Drosophila melanogaster: one gene and its partner. Changing the gene in region 1 together with any one later gene gives a genetic interaction. Each region holds a gene or a part of one and is shown on either strand. Other genes may lie near its edges.

What was found. Genes that interact genetically often act in the same process or in processes that back each other up.
Region 2: of babo (region 1) and daw, changing one enhances a phenotype caused by changing the other (phenotypic enhancement), as found in Drosophila melanogaster (one study listed by BioGRID).

What each region holds. Positions count from the first base shown.
Region 1 is NT_033778.4:8,950,520-8,955,376, reverse strand, and holds the start of babo (baboon), read right to left. Parts: upstream 3,039-4,857; 5' UTR 2,406-3,038; coding exon 2,348-2,405; intron 2,275-2,347; coding exon 1,960-2,274; intron 644-1,959; coding exon 526-643; intron 419-525; coding exon 210-418; intron 1-209. Other genes in the region: Tom7 (translocase of outer membrane 7), read right to left, coding at 3,311-3,375, 3,485-3,584; CG8229 (uncharacterized protein), read left to right, coding at 4,790-4,857; CG33199 (uncharacterized protein), read left to right, coding at 4,621-4,671.
Region 2 is NT_033779.5:2,803,737-2,811,300, forward strand, and holds the start of daw (dawdle), read left to right. Parts: upstream 1-1,524; 5' UTR 1,525-1,865; intron 1,866-4,585; exon of another isoform or gene 4,586-4,800; intron 4,801-5,243; 5' UTR 5,244-5,574; coding exon 5,575-6,517; intron 6,518-6,631; coding exon 6,632-6,907; intron 6,908-7,412; coding exon 7,413-7,564.

The sequences.
Region 1 (4,857 bases):
TTTCAGCAGGTCATCATTAGTAGTGCTCTGCATTTGGGGTTATGATCATTTCAAAACTTCAACTCAACGAGCATAAGTGGGGGAAACAGTCCAAAGAACGATCAAAACTGGGCAACTGGTTGTTGAACGGCGTGCGAGTGAACAGAGAAATGGGAGCAGTCAGAGAGGAGGGGTTTTTGGGAGCGAAACACGTGCATAAGCGCACGCACCTTGGACGGAGATTTGCCGCCCTTCTTCGACACGATCACTCCTCTGGTCCTTCGTCTTTGGCCACAGAAATCGGTTGCAGAAGTCCCTGTCCTTGCAGCAGGCGTGGGCGCCATTGCGACCCACTGGGCGGGCGGTTGGTCCGCCGTGCAGCCCGTCGTTACACCAGATGGAGCGGCCCGGCGGAAAGATTTGAGACTTGTGCAGACATCTGCATCGCTCGATAGATCGATCGTATCAGACATATTCACACTGGCTGCTCTGAGGGGCAAGTGCTAACCTAATCAAAGGCCTGCTCCTCAGGCTCTCGGCACTCACCTGTAGCTGAAGATGATGCTCCCATCAGAGTTCTTCTCCACGGACGTGAAACAAAAGCCGTCCGTTTCACATATATTGTTCGATTCCTTGCACGTGTCACAGTGGCATTTTATCTTGTCTGCAGAACATAAAAGGTAAAATTAATATAAAGATCTATTTGCAAAAAACCAAACTTTAGAGTACTATCAAATCCATACATTCCTACCAAAAATTTGTTAACTTTAAACCGACTCACCAACAAAAACTTATTCTTCGCTTAACGATATATCTTCACTATTTGTAGGTGATCCTAACCAAGCACGTGTTTCTTGTAATATTTAATGAATATTAATTACTTGTGGAAAGGTAAGCAAAGGAAGAGGTCCGCGCCTCATTTGCCACGGTTAATGATTTTCTTATTATTTAAACAAATAAAACGCAAAAGCATAGGTTAGCAGTAGCAAACTTCTCGAATTAAGAAAATGCCCCGACTCCGATTGAAGCAAATCAATCAATTAGGCGCTGGCAGAAATTAACTAATTAGAGAAATAAGAGACCCATAAATCAACCACTCGCTGATTGGCATCTCCTGACCACAAATTGGGATTTGCCATAACCATGCCCCCGGGGCACCTGGCCGGGCACACGCTCGCCCAGACAGTCACATAGACATCCATAGCCACTACCATATCCACATCTACCGCCACCGACACCGCCGAGAGCGTGATGAAACAAAAACAAAACCATTTAGCATTAACAAAGCAGACGCGGAGAAGACAAGTGCAAAGTGGAGGGCCAGACAATGCGACCAGTTTCCCCTTCCCCCGGACAGCGAGAAGCCAGTGCCAGTGCTTAGGCCTGCTTTTTTTTGCACCGACTGCAGTTGCAAGTGCCCAAGTGCAGCAAGCAAATGCATCCAGACGTGGGGGTGTCTGCAGCCAGGCAGCGTTGGAGTGGGCCATGAGAGCTGTCTGGCTCAGCTCATTGACACCACGGAGAGGTGACGTCACTATATGGGAACGGAATCGGAGCCTCAGGCGCAGACGAAGACGGCCTTTTAGAAGCGTTCAGAGTCTTTGAGGTGTTACAGTCACGCGATATACACACGGAGAAAAGATCCCTATGGCATCGAAAAGATCGCCAAGTATTAAGTAACCCTTGGTAAGATATTTTAATTATTAAACAACAACAACAAAAATGTCAATATATCGGACAAGTAAGGTATAACCACTAAGCGGTTTCTATCTTCTCCCAATAATGGATTTCACCTTAAAAAAGGGAAGTAAAATGACCTTTACTCTGTGCTGACTTTCCTGGTTAACTGAAGTCAAGTAAAATGTTTGCAAGGCAATACCGGAACAAGTCTGTAAATCTATCACATTCTTGTTGTTTAGATAATTCGGGGTGCATTGTCCGCAGTGTGCTCTACACTCTCGTTAGGCAATCGGAACTTACTTTCTGGCTTTTTCGCGCTAGGCTGAGCAATGTAGATGGGCAGCTGGGGAGTAACAGCAGGGGCCACAGCTCCAGATGCGTCGCCGTCTTGCGGCAGCAGCATGGACACGGCGCTAGCGTTGTTGTTGTCGTGGCTTCTGTTATCAGCGGCCAGCGACGACGATGGCGACTGATAAGCATGTCCAGCTGTTCCAGCTGGAGCCCTGAGCGCCGGCGCTTTGGTCGTCGGTGGCCATTTGCCAGGGTGGGTTGCAGTCGCAGGATCAGATCGAGAGCCATTTAGGCTGGTGTCCATTACGAACTCAATGGGGGAGGCTGCACCGGGGGAGATTTTAGGTTAGTTTCGCACCTGATCCAGATTAATGGAACCGCTGGGGGGTACACTCACCGCAAACAGAGGCGCCGAGCAGAGCGCCCAGGAAGATTAGCCGGAGCGCAGATAACATGTTGGCTATTCGCACCGACGATAGTGTGTGCGACCCGACCCGAGCTATTGTTATTGTTTGTGCAGCCCGAGAGCTTTTCTTTTGTTTTCCACGATCGCACGCACGCACACGCGCGTCGCAAGTTCAAAGTCTGTGGCCTGCAAATGAGATTGTTGTTTCGCGGCAGGACGAGGCGGGGCCGCAGGAGCAGGAGGAGCGGCAGGAGGACACCTCAGACAGCCACTAATTGGCCCCGAACTGCGCATTTATCGCGTAGGACAGGCGCCCGCGAATTCCCACATTTGGCGGGGGCATGGCCGGGAATATAGACTGGCGATTCTCACAATTAGCGAATCTCGATGGGGGCCCGCAATGCGAAACTCGAACTCCACACTCCGCACAAGTTGGTTGGAAAAACTGCTCTGCTCTGCTTTACATTTCACGGACGAGGGCGACTTTTCAGGCGGATTTTCATCACGTGATTGGGGCAGTGGCGCGGGGGAAGTGGCACTATTTCATATTCCGCGGGACAGCCGGCACTTTCGGGTGTCTGGGGCAACCGTTTGTTTATATTAATTGCTGCTATTTTTTCTTAAATGTACAATTTTGTGCAGCGAAAAACCGCGCTGGTGTGTGTGGATTTGCAAACAGTGTGACCGCACCTGCAGTAGTGTGCCCAGGCTGGACTGCCCATGAAAAACACCCACCCGCTAGAGAAGTGCGTAAAAATGCCCAATCGGTTATGTTTTTATGGACAATGATTTTTGTTAAAATATTGGTTGTTTCCAGGATACATAAAAAAATTTCGATTTGTTTTGTAACAGATATTTATTTGCAATAGCTGCAGGTACTGCACCCGTTCCCAGAAACCCAACCAGAACCAAAATGCGGGGCATACGACAGCAAAATGATCATGTCCACTATTTTTACTGCCATAACAGACTGAAAAGGTTCAGAGGCGGCATGCCAGGCTCAGCTCCCTTCATAAATCCTGCGAAAATGAGAATTGGTCAAAATCAATGTCGGTCCATTTGATATTACCCCGCTGCTTCTTCTTCCCAGCCGCGTGTAGATTACAAAAAACATGAACCACAACTTACCCAAATACAGCACAAGAGGCACGAATCCCCAGTGGAATCCAGTCTGGACGACTCCAACCACAAATCCCAAACGATCCTTAACTCCCTCGGATAGCTTCATTTCGTACGGATATTGAATTTAGCTCCTTTTGCGAATTATGAAATGATAACTTGTCTGACTGCAAACGAAGTGTTGGAAAACAGCACTTTTTTCGATATAAAACAGCTGACAGAAACTTTTTGTTAGGTTACTCGTTCAATTTATATTTTCTTGGGATGGCTTTGTCGCAGGTTGCTGGGCCTGAAATAATTTACCAATTTAAAGAATCAGTAAAATTATTTCGAATACAGATTTCTGTTGGTGTGGCAACATTGACATTTGAGCGCAAAATTTAAATTCGCTTCTAAAACGGTCACACCGTTTTGCCCTTTGGGTTTTAATCTGATATTCTTTAATTTATATTTTCCACTATAAAGGTTTTTAACTACCATTTCACCGACAAGTTGTCTATTGGACACATATCATGAAAAGAAAAAAGTGTGCTTGGTCTGAAAAATACCTTTTCGTATTTTTAATGATCCCGCAATATTTTTGCATGTGTACTCCCATCAACTTTAAAGATGTTACATTTCCAAAGTTTCAAATTCTGAAAGCGTTGGAAATGCAACAAGAATTTGAAGTAAGGAAACTTCTTTTTAACGCTCAAAGTTTTCGTTGATTTCTTAACAATATGAAGCATAAAAATAAAAAATACCCCTGCTATCTCTCGCAGCAGGCAAGTGCTCCGTAGATCGATACTATCGCAGCCACTCGAAGTCCCATCTCTAATCTCGAGTCCCTTTCGCACTTGCCCGCTACTCACATGAGTTCTAGATCGTTTAGTTTTCTTGGTTTTCATTTGCTCGCCAAATTTTAGCAACGTTGCTGGTTTAATCGGCTGCACCTGCAATCGCGGTTAATCAGAGAGCGCCGAGCACTAAAGTTCCCATTGCCAAACGAAACGTAAGTGATAAAGAACGCCAGCAATGAGCGAACAAGAGCAAAGCGCACGCAGTCGGGGAAAAATCAATTGATGTTATGTAAGCTCGAATAACCGGATACCGTGTCTACTACTGTTGCAGGTCCCGATTTGCTCGATTTGGAACTGGAACGGACCATGAAAACAAGCAATCTCGGCCTGTACGCTTTCCGTTTAACCTTCGGTCAGGTGAGCACACGCACATTAAACCAGGCAGCCAAACGGCAGAAACAGCATGCGCATTCTGGGGGAAACCTCTGAGTTTTTCGGCCGGGCAAACCAAGGACCACCACAATCGTCGTTGAGAATGCAGCGACTGCAGCCGGGAGACGAGTGTCTGGAGTGCCAGAGTGAAGGCAGGAATCACAAGCTGCG
Region 2 (7,564 bases), on another chromosome or scaffold:
TTATAATCAAATGAAGCGATGAATAGTTCAGAAAATATTAGAATGAATCTTTAGATGTTTAAGGTAACTTTAAGCTTGCAGTTCAAACGTGTAACTAAAGTCATAGTACCCCTATCAAGGGTATAAGCATCATATATTGTTGACTTAATTATGACACCAAAACACTGTTTTAATTAAAAACTGAAATTCCAGAGGCCCGGCCACGATAAGCCGTGCATTGTGACGTGTTTTTCAGCACGCGCGCCACATTTAAAAATTAGACGTTTCGAGTGAGATTTTGCCTCGATCCTGAGTATACAAATCACGAAAGGTATATTGTGCGATTCCATCGCATTATATTTGAGGTGAATGCTTTATTGTGAAATCTCAAGGTAAACAAAACTCGGAACGGACTTAATCAGTCGATTGGCATGAGGTTTGAAAGTGAAACACAGCGATACGCAATCAGAGCCAGCATTTAATTAATATTAGCCATTTACATACTATTGTCCTCCGAGGTAATCTCAAGAGACCCATGCTCGACGGGCGTGAAAACTTCAAAATTATGATATCACACATGGTAATCAATTGAAGCAGCCAGCAAGTTAAAAACAAGAAACCCCAAACGTCGTAAAAGCCACATCGTAAATTGGTCAAGAGGAAAGCGATTAGCTGGCCAAGAGCTAAACAAAAACAGGAAGGCATACGTAGGGTGGAGTCTGAAATTGAGTATACTTAGTTCATTCGTTATATTACATCTAATTGTTCAGTCTTTTACACGACATTGTTTGCATATTCTTCGATGATACATATGTACTTTCTTCTAGCATTCATGGTTATACGTCAATTTTAGTCATACCTCTCGCTAGTACCGCTTATTAATAGACATTGGGCCATCAAAAGAAAGCGATGGTATCGCTTTGGCTGTGAGAACCAATCGCCATTAGGCAATGTCGGCTATCAGGGAAAGTCAAAGGCAATCCGCTGGACTGGACTGCCGCTGAACTTTGGACCGGTTGGATCGAGCGATAAAACCCCACCGGCACGACGTCAGCTCACGTTTTTGGGTGACGAATGCTGGGGCTCGATCCTCATTCCCAACAAGCTCGAACTCACGAACGGCCATCGAACATGTAGCGCCGGCCAGCGAACTTGTTCGATGCTCCAGCCTCGAGCGGCGTGGGTGTTCGATGCAGGAGGCGATCGGATGGGAGCCAACCGGACCTAAAACGCTGCTGTGTGGGCCAGGGGGGAAAGCCACCCATTATCAGTGGCTCTCCCTGCTCTCCCTCTCTCTCTCTCTGTCGCACTTGCTGGAAGCAAAGTAGAATTGCGCATCGCTTAAAACGCAGAGCAGCGGAGTGCGCCAATGATCGGCGGCGTGTCTGTTATCAAACAAACTGAAACTCAACTGTCTGCCGCCCGAAGAGTGGGCCATACCCATACCCATACCCATACCCAGGCCCATACTCACACCCATACCGCTCCCCACAGATACCGTTAGTCGTACCGCTCCAGGCTTTTGTGGCCGCTGCGCCGCCCATCGTCGAATTATTCACACGCAGACGTTCCCAACGATCGGATCGAAAATTATTCAAATCGTGCAAATCGTACATGAAACTTGGTGTGAACGAATAATACTTTATGTTTCTTCAAAACATTTGTTTTTGCTCAGCGAAATATCAGCTCGTCATTTTGAGGAAATCAAGTTCAAGTGGTGAAATTCAAAACAATAATGAGTTTGCGAAAGTGATTTGCGAAAACAAATAAACGGACAATCGATTGTAGAATCACTCAAGGACATTTGATAAGCATCCCTTTTCGCAGAAGATTGCAAACAATGTGCTAAGTTATTCAAGCATTTTGACAATGGATTATTAATTTGGGTGAGTTACATAACACAAGGGCTTATTGTGTAAGAAGTTTAAATAAAAGTGCCAAAAATGTGAATTATGGAATCAGCCTCAACATGGGATACTAGAAATTGTATATTTTTTTTAGCAGTCTAATGCTCAATATCAGTTATTACCAAATCGCAGGGAAGTTTCTAGTTTCGCTTTTGGAATATCATGCCGTAATTAAAAACTAATCATGCAGTGAATGGTTTATCGATCAGAGGCCTATCTATCACCGATTGATTGATTGATAGTTTTCGAGCCTATAACCCAGGCGCATAACCTCCAAAAGCTCTTGGCGAATTTCGGCCACGTCGAGAGTCATTGGCCAAATTTAGTTGCTACCAATGATGATCTTATTTAATCCTGCACTTGATTTATGGTAGCATCGCCGATGAGCGTGTGGCGAGAAAAGTATTATGGCAGATTAATTTGCGACGCTTCGGGCCTCTGGCTTCTGGCAATCGGGGCAATCTCCGTGAGCGGTTCCAAAGTCCAGATCGTGGCATGCTCCCAACCGCTGATCGGCGAGAACGGCGTGATCGCCGTGATTTATTGCCAAAAACCGATGGAAGCAGCCGTGTTTTTGTCGCAGTGCATTCAACTGCTGCGCGCGAAGAAGAAATGCAAGTGATAATTGCCGGCAATTACGATAGCCCCACTCCAAGTCCGAGTCCCAGCCCCACATCCAGTCCCAGCTGCCCCGTAATTAATGCGAAAATGATACGGGCAGGCCCATGGAAAACCCCCAAGCAGAGTCGCTTAGTCAAGAAGCCATCTCCATCAAGCGGCTGTACTTTGCACCTCCAATCGACGCATCGCCAGACCCCCAACTCCCCATTCACAGGCACAGCAGTTTTTTGCTCCGATTTGCATCGACATGGCAACCGCGGAGTCTTCACTACAGCTTTTGCTTCTGATCACGCGCTGGTGGCGTGCTCGATGACGTAGCCATGACTGCCGGGCGTTAAATGACCTTCTTCAACTTCTGTCCCCCTTCCCAGCGGCACCCCTTTTCCGCGGGCCCCCATCACATCGCAGTCGCACGCCTCGGCTTCGATTCCTGCCTTTGATAAGTCGGTCAGTCAAGTCAGTCATTAAGTCCAGTGCAGTGCGGACAGCTCGAGTTACGTCAAAAACGAAGAGTACGTACAAAACGTGTCACATGTCGCGTGTGTGCTACAATCCAAGCCCTGCTTCCTGATCCGATCCCCATCCATTCTATCAGATCCCATCCCATCCGATCTGATCCGTCATTATGTGGCCCCCAGTCGCTTTAATCGACGTCAGGTTGGTTGTGTTGGAAAAAACAAAATGGAGCAGATTTTGGAACGTGGCAATCTACGTAGGTTGTGGAAAAATATGCGATGAGTTGATAAGTGGTGCGACATATGCTGAAGGCCAGGACGTCATTTAAATTGGAAAAGGGCCACTGGAAAAGTGTAATACCTTATGTAACTTATGGGAACACGTAAAACTAAACTTAATTGTGCAAGTCAAAGGTGTCATAATCTAATATGAAATTGGGGAGTATGCAATACTTATAGTTGTTTATTGTATTATTTCCTAACAAGAACCCCTATTAATTTGCTTTTGCTTAAGCCGCACCAACAATGTTGCCAGAATTCGCTGAGGCCTACAAAATTTCTATCAATTAAACGGACCTTCTCCTCCGTATAGTATAGATCATTTCTATTCGTCTCGATGATCTAATTGGGTTCAGAAAAATCACAGTTCGTGACAAGCGAATCGGGCACGTGTTCAGCATTTAAGGCTAAATCGAATAGGCGGTATAATATAACTCGTGATCTGCCGGCCTTCAAAATACTTTTCTTGACCTTACTCGACTGCTTCACATTTAGCCGAGACCAGAAATTCTGGCTGATGAAATTCCCAACCGAAATACTCATGAATTTCCCATTCGCATTTAAATTGGAAAACAGACACACTATGTATTTGAAATGCGCATCTATTAACCGAATCCGATTAGGATTGCCCAGAATCGCATGCTAAGCGTACTTAATTGGTTAAATGCCGCACTACATATTCCATGCTCCCGATTTGTGGACCAAAAGTGGGAAACCGCCCCTTATCAGCAACGTGTTCACTATTAATTGATTGACACACAATCGAGTCGGATCATCAAAGTCAAGCTTGATAACGCTGCGGGGTAATTAGCATGAATGGGCCACTCGACTCGATTCGATTCGATTCGATTCGGTTTGAAGCGATCATAAATTCACTTGATATCAAAATGCCCCATTGTGGCCAAGCGAGTGCCAAAAATGCCAACAGATAGTGACGCCGCCAACTGGGGGCGTGGCATTGTCAGGGTGGCGGGAGGTTAAAAATAAAATTGCAATTAAGAATTTTATGCAATTCGGTGGCTTGGCGTTTTCAAGAAGCTGATGCAATGCTGCACCCCACTTGCATATCCAATTGTCTTCGGCTAAAGAGAGAGCGCCATGTAGCCATAACCATGGTCTATAGTCATAAATCGAGACCCGAACCGCTCGGCTTGGATCCGAGTCCGCAACCGATACGAAACGATCCGTCAGATACGATGCGATTCGAGTGGTTCGGATTGTTTCGGTTCGGTTCGGTTCGGTTCGGCTGGCGCTCGCGGAACGATCAATCAAACGCTCGGCGATCGTCACATAAATTGTTCTACTAATCAGCCAACCGCTTCATTCATTCACAACTCGTTTGCGCTGCCGCATGTCGGAAGAGAAAGAAGCACCATACTATATCATAGACCATACCACAAGTGGAATACTATATAGACGCGCGATCCCAGCTATAGCTAAAGGCCCGTGCCACTCGTGTTTCGTGTCCGGGTTCAAAGTTAATGCCGCAACCCCCGCCGGATTCATCCGGCTGAGCAGATTCAGATCCCATTGGAGCAAATCGGAGTGTGCTCACCACGGTACGTGTGGGGTCCACGTCCACCTAATTGCCATCTAATTGAGCCCGCTTATCAGCGGATCTGCGCAACTACGCTTTCGATTTGAGTCGCACTTGGGGCAAATAGCCCATGTGATAATGTGAAATTGAATACTGAACTAAACTAAATCTTCCCGGAATTAATGTCAAAAAAACGATTTGCACTTTGCCACCTGCCAATTCGAGCTCAACGATATGGAATAAATGATGCAATTTGGTGCAAAAATTAAGCGAGACTTCGGGCTTAGTGAGTGATAGTGATAAATGCACCTGATCCGCTGGCATATTAAATTGCATTTTAATTGGGGCAGCGCGTTCGCAAATATTTATGAGAAAATTTAGGGCATAGCTGTTTTAATTTATTTGATTAATAATCGGAATGTGCTTACAATATTAACTAAGTTACAAATTTCTTCTTATTTGCAGACGAAACTTAACGAAAAGTTTAAAATATTGAACATGCATCATTCAAGCGTATAAGTCGTTGTTATATAAAATCATAAAAAACGCATAAACGTTTTAAAAGTGCTTAAACAAGGCTATAAAACGGCAACAATAAGTGAAACCAGCTGCAATTCTATGAGTTTTGTAAACCTGAAAGCCGGAAAAATTGATGTTTTAATGCTGCCAAACAGATAGCAATCAGCCCCAGCCGACAAAACAAGAGTGAAACCAAAGGCGATCCAGAAGATCATAAGATACATATAAAATATCTCACAGTTAAAAAAAAAGAGAAGTCATAAGTACATATTCAGAAATGGCCAAGTACTTTATAGCCCTGGTGTTGCTGGTGTGTCTGGCCCTGGAGAACAGGAACGTATACAATCGCCTGCACGCCCGCTCCCATCCGAGTTCCCGTGGCGACATCCTTCGTCCGCATCCTAAGCACCAGCCGCATCCCCATGTGCAGCACACCTCGCAACAGCTGCAGCAGCAACACCATATCCGGCAGCAACGATCCCGTCAGCTGAAACACCTGGAACCGGATCCGACCAGCGAGGAGGACGATGTACCGATCACCAAGCGGGAGTACTATGCCCGCCTGAGGCGCCACGTCATCCACAAGAGGCAGCACCTCCTGCAGCAGGAGCTCAGCTACAACCATCCCGGCTCCCATTCGGAGCAGCTAAAGGTGCCCCGCCTGTGGCAACACCTCATGGAGCAGGAGGAGAAGGCACACCGACATGTGAGCCCGCCCGTGGAGTTGCCTATCATGTACGGAGATGCCCCCGAGGAGTCATCCCTCTCCTCCGATGATCACTTTGATGATCTGTCGCCGCTGGACTTTGTGCGCAACGAACTGATGGCCGAGGACCAGCAGAATCAGGAGAAGGATCTCGATCTCGATCTGGACCTAGATCAGCAGCCGGAAACGCCCATAGAGCCAGAGCTCCCATTGGGTGAGAGGAACATCACCATTTCGGTGAAGTCCAGCGCCGGAGGATGCCCCAAGTGCGAGAGCAATCGCCAAGTGGAGCACATCACCGAGGAGCAGCTGACCCACTTACGCATCGAGTTCGTTAAGCAGCAGATCCTGGAGAAGCTGCGCCTCAAGGAGAGCCCCAAGGTGTCGGCCGTGGAGCTGCCCAAGCCCATCTTCGACGGGATGACACTCTCCCATCCGGACGATAGCACCAAGAACAAGGAGCTGGACGATTACTACGCTCGCACTAGCAAGAAGTTCATACTGCTCAATAGAGGTAAGCAAATCTAGATTTAAGCACTAGAAAGTAAAGATTGAAGCTTAACTTCAAAGGGAATCCTTTTACCATTCTGATTTTGCTAACACAACCCTTTATCCTTTATTTTTACAGAGGAGGTCGAGTGCAACCGAGCGAGAGATGGAAAATCCAATCCGTCCATGTGCTTCACCTTCAAGATAGACGACGCAGATGCCGAGGGCTTCGACGTGAGCACCGCCGTCCTGTGGCTCTTCAAGAACAAACAGAACCGCACCGACACGGCATCGGTGAACAGCACCAGTGCCCAGCAGACGATCGTAGTCTCCGAGGTGGAGGTGGATCAGCAGAAGGACTCCAAGTATTTGTCGGCGGCCAAGACCATAGCCATCCAGTCGGTGAATGTGCAAGGTGGGTACACATAGTATACATTAGTATAGCATAAACACTCATCCCCCCAGAGCGTAATCATGCCCAGAAAAGAATCGCACACGTTTGGACCTTTGGTCGGCAGCCGCGGAACGGCCAAAACTGACCCTCAATACCCTCGGGGGACAAATCAAAATATGTGACATGTCTATACTAGATGGGTATTATAAAAATTATAAAGAACGCCGATAAGTGCCAACGTTGACAACCGCTTGTTTGTGTTTTCAATTAGACAGATCATTGCGCAGATTCGTGATAGCACTGCTTGATAGCTCGGCTCGAATCTGAAATTCATGTGGGTGAATAACTTGACAAAGCATTATTCGTGGGTGCAAAAACTGAACTTTGGCCACAACCCAGCACAGTTGTGAGTTCCTGGGGTCAGTTACCAGATAAGAAAGATGGGATCTACGATTCTGGGAGAAGAGAAGATGGCTCTGTGGAACCCCCAACTAACCGCTCTGCCTTTCCTTTCGCATACTTTCAGATGAGTGGATGAAGATCGACATTGAGTGGCCCATCAAACACTGGATCAGTGGCCACGAGCTGAGCCACCTCATCCAAATCACCTGCGGTGGCTGCGATGTCAGCGACATGGAGGAGATCATTTCGGTGGACAAGGATTACCGGCCATTCATC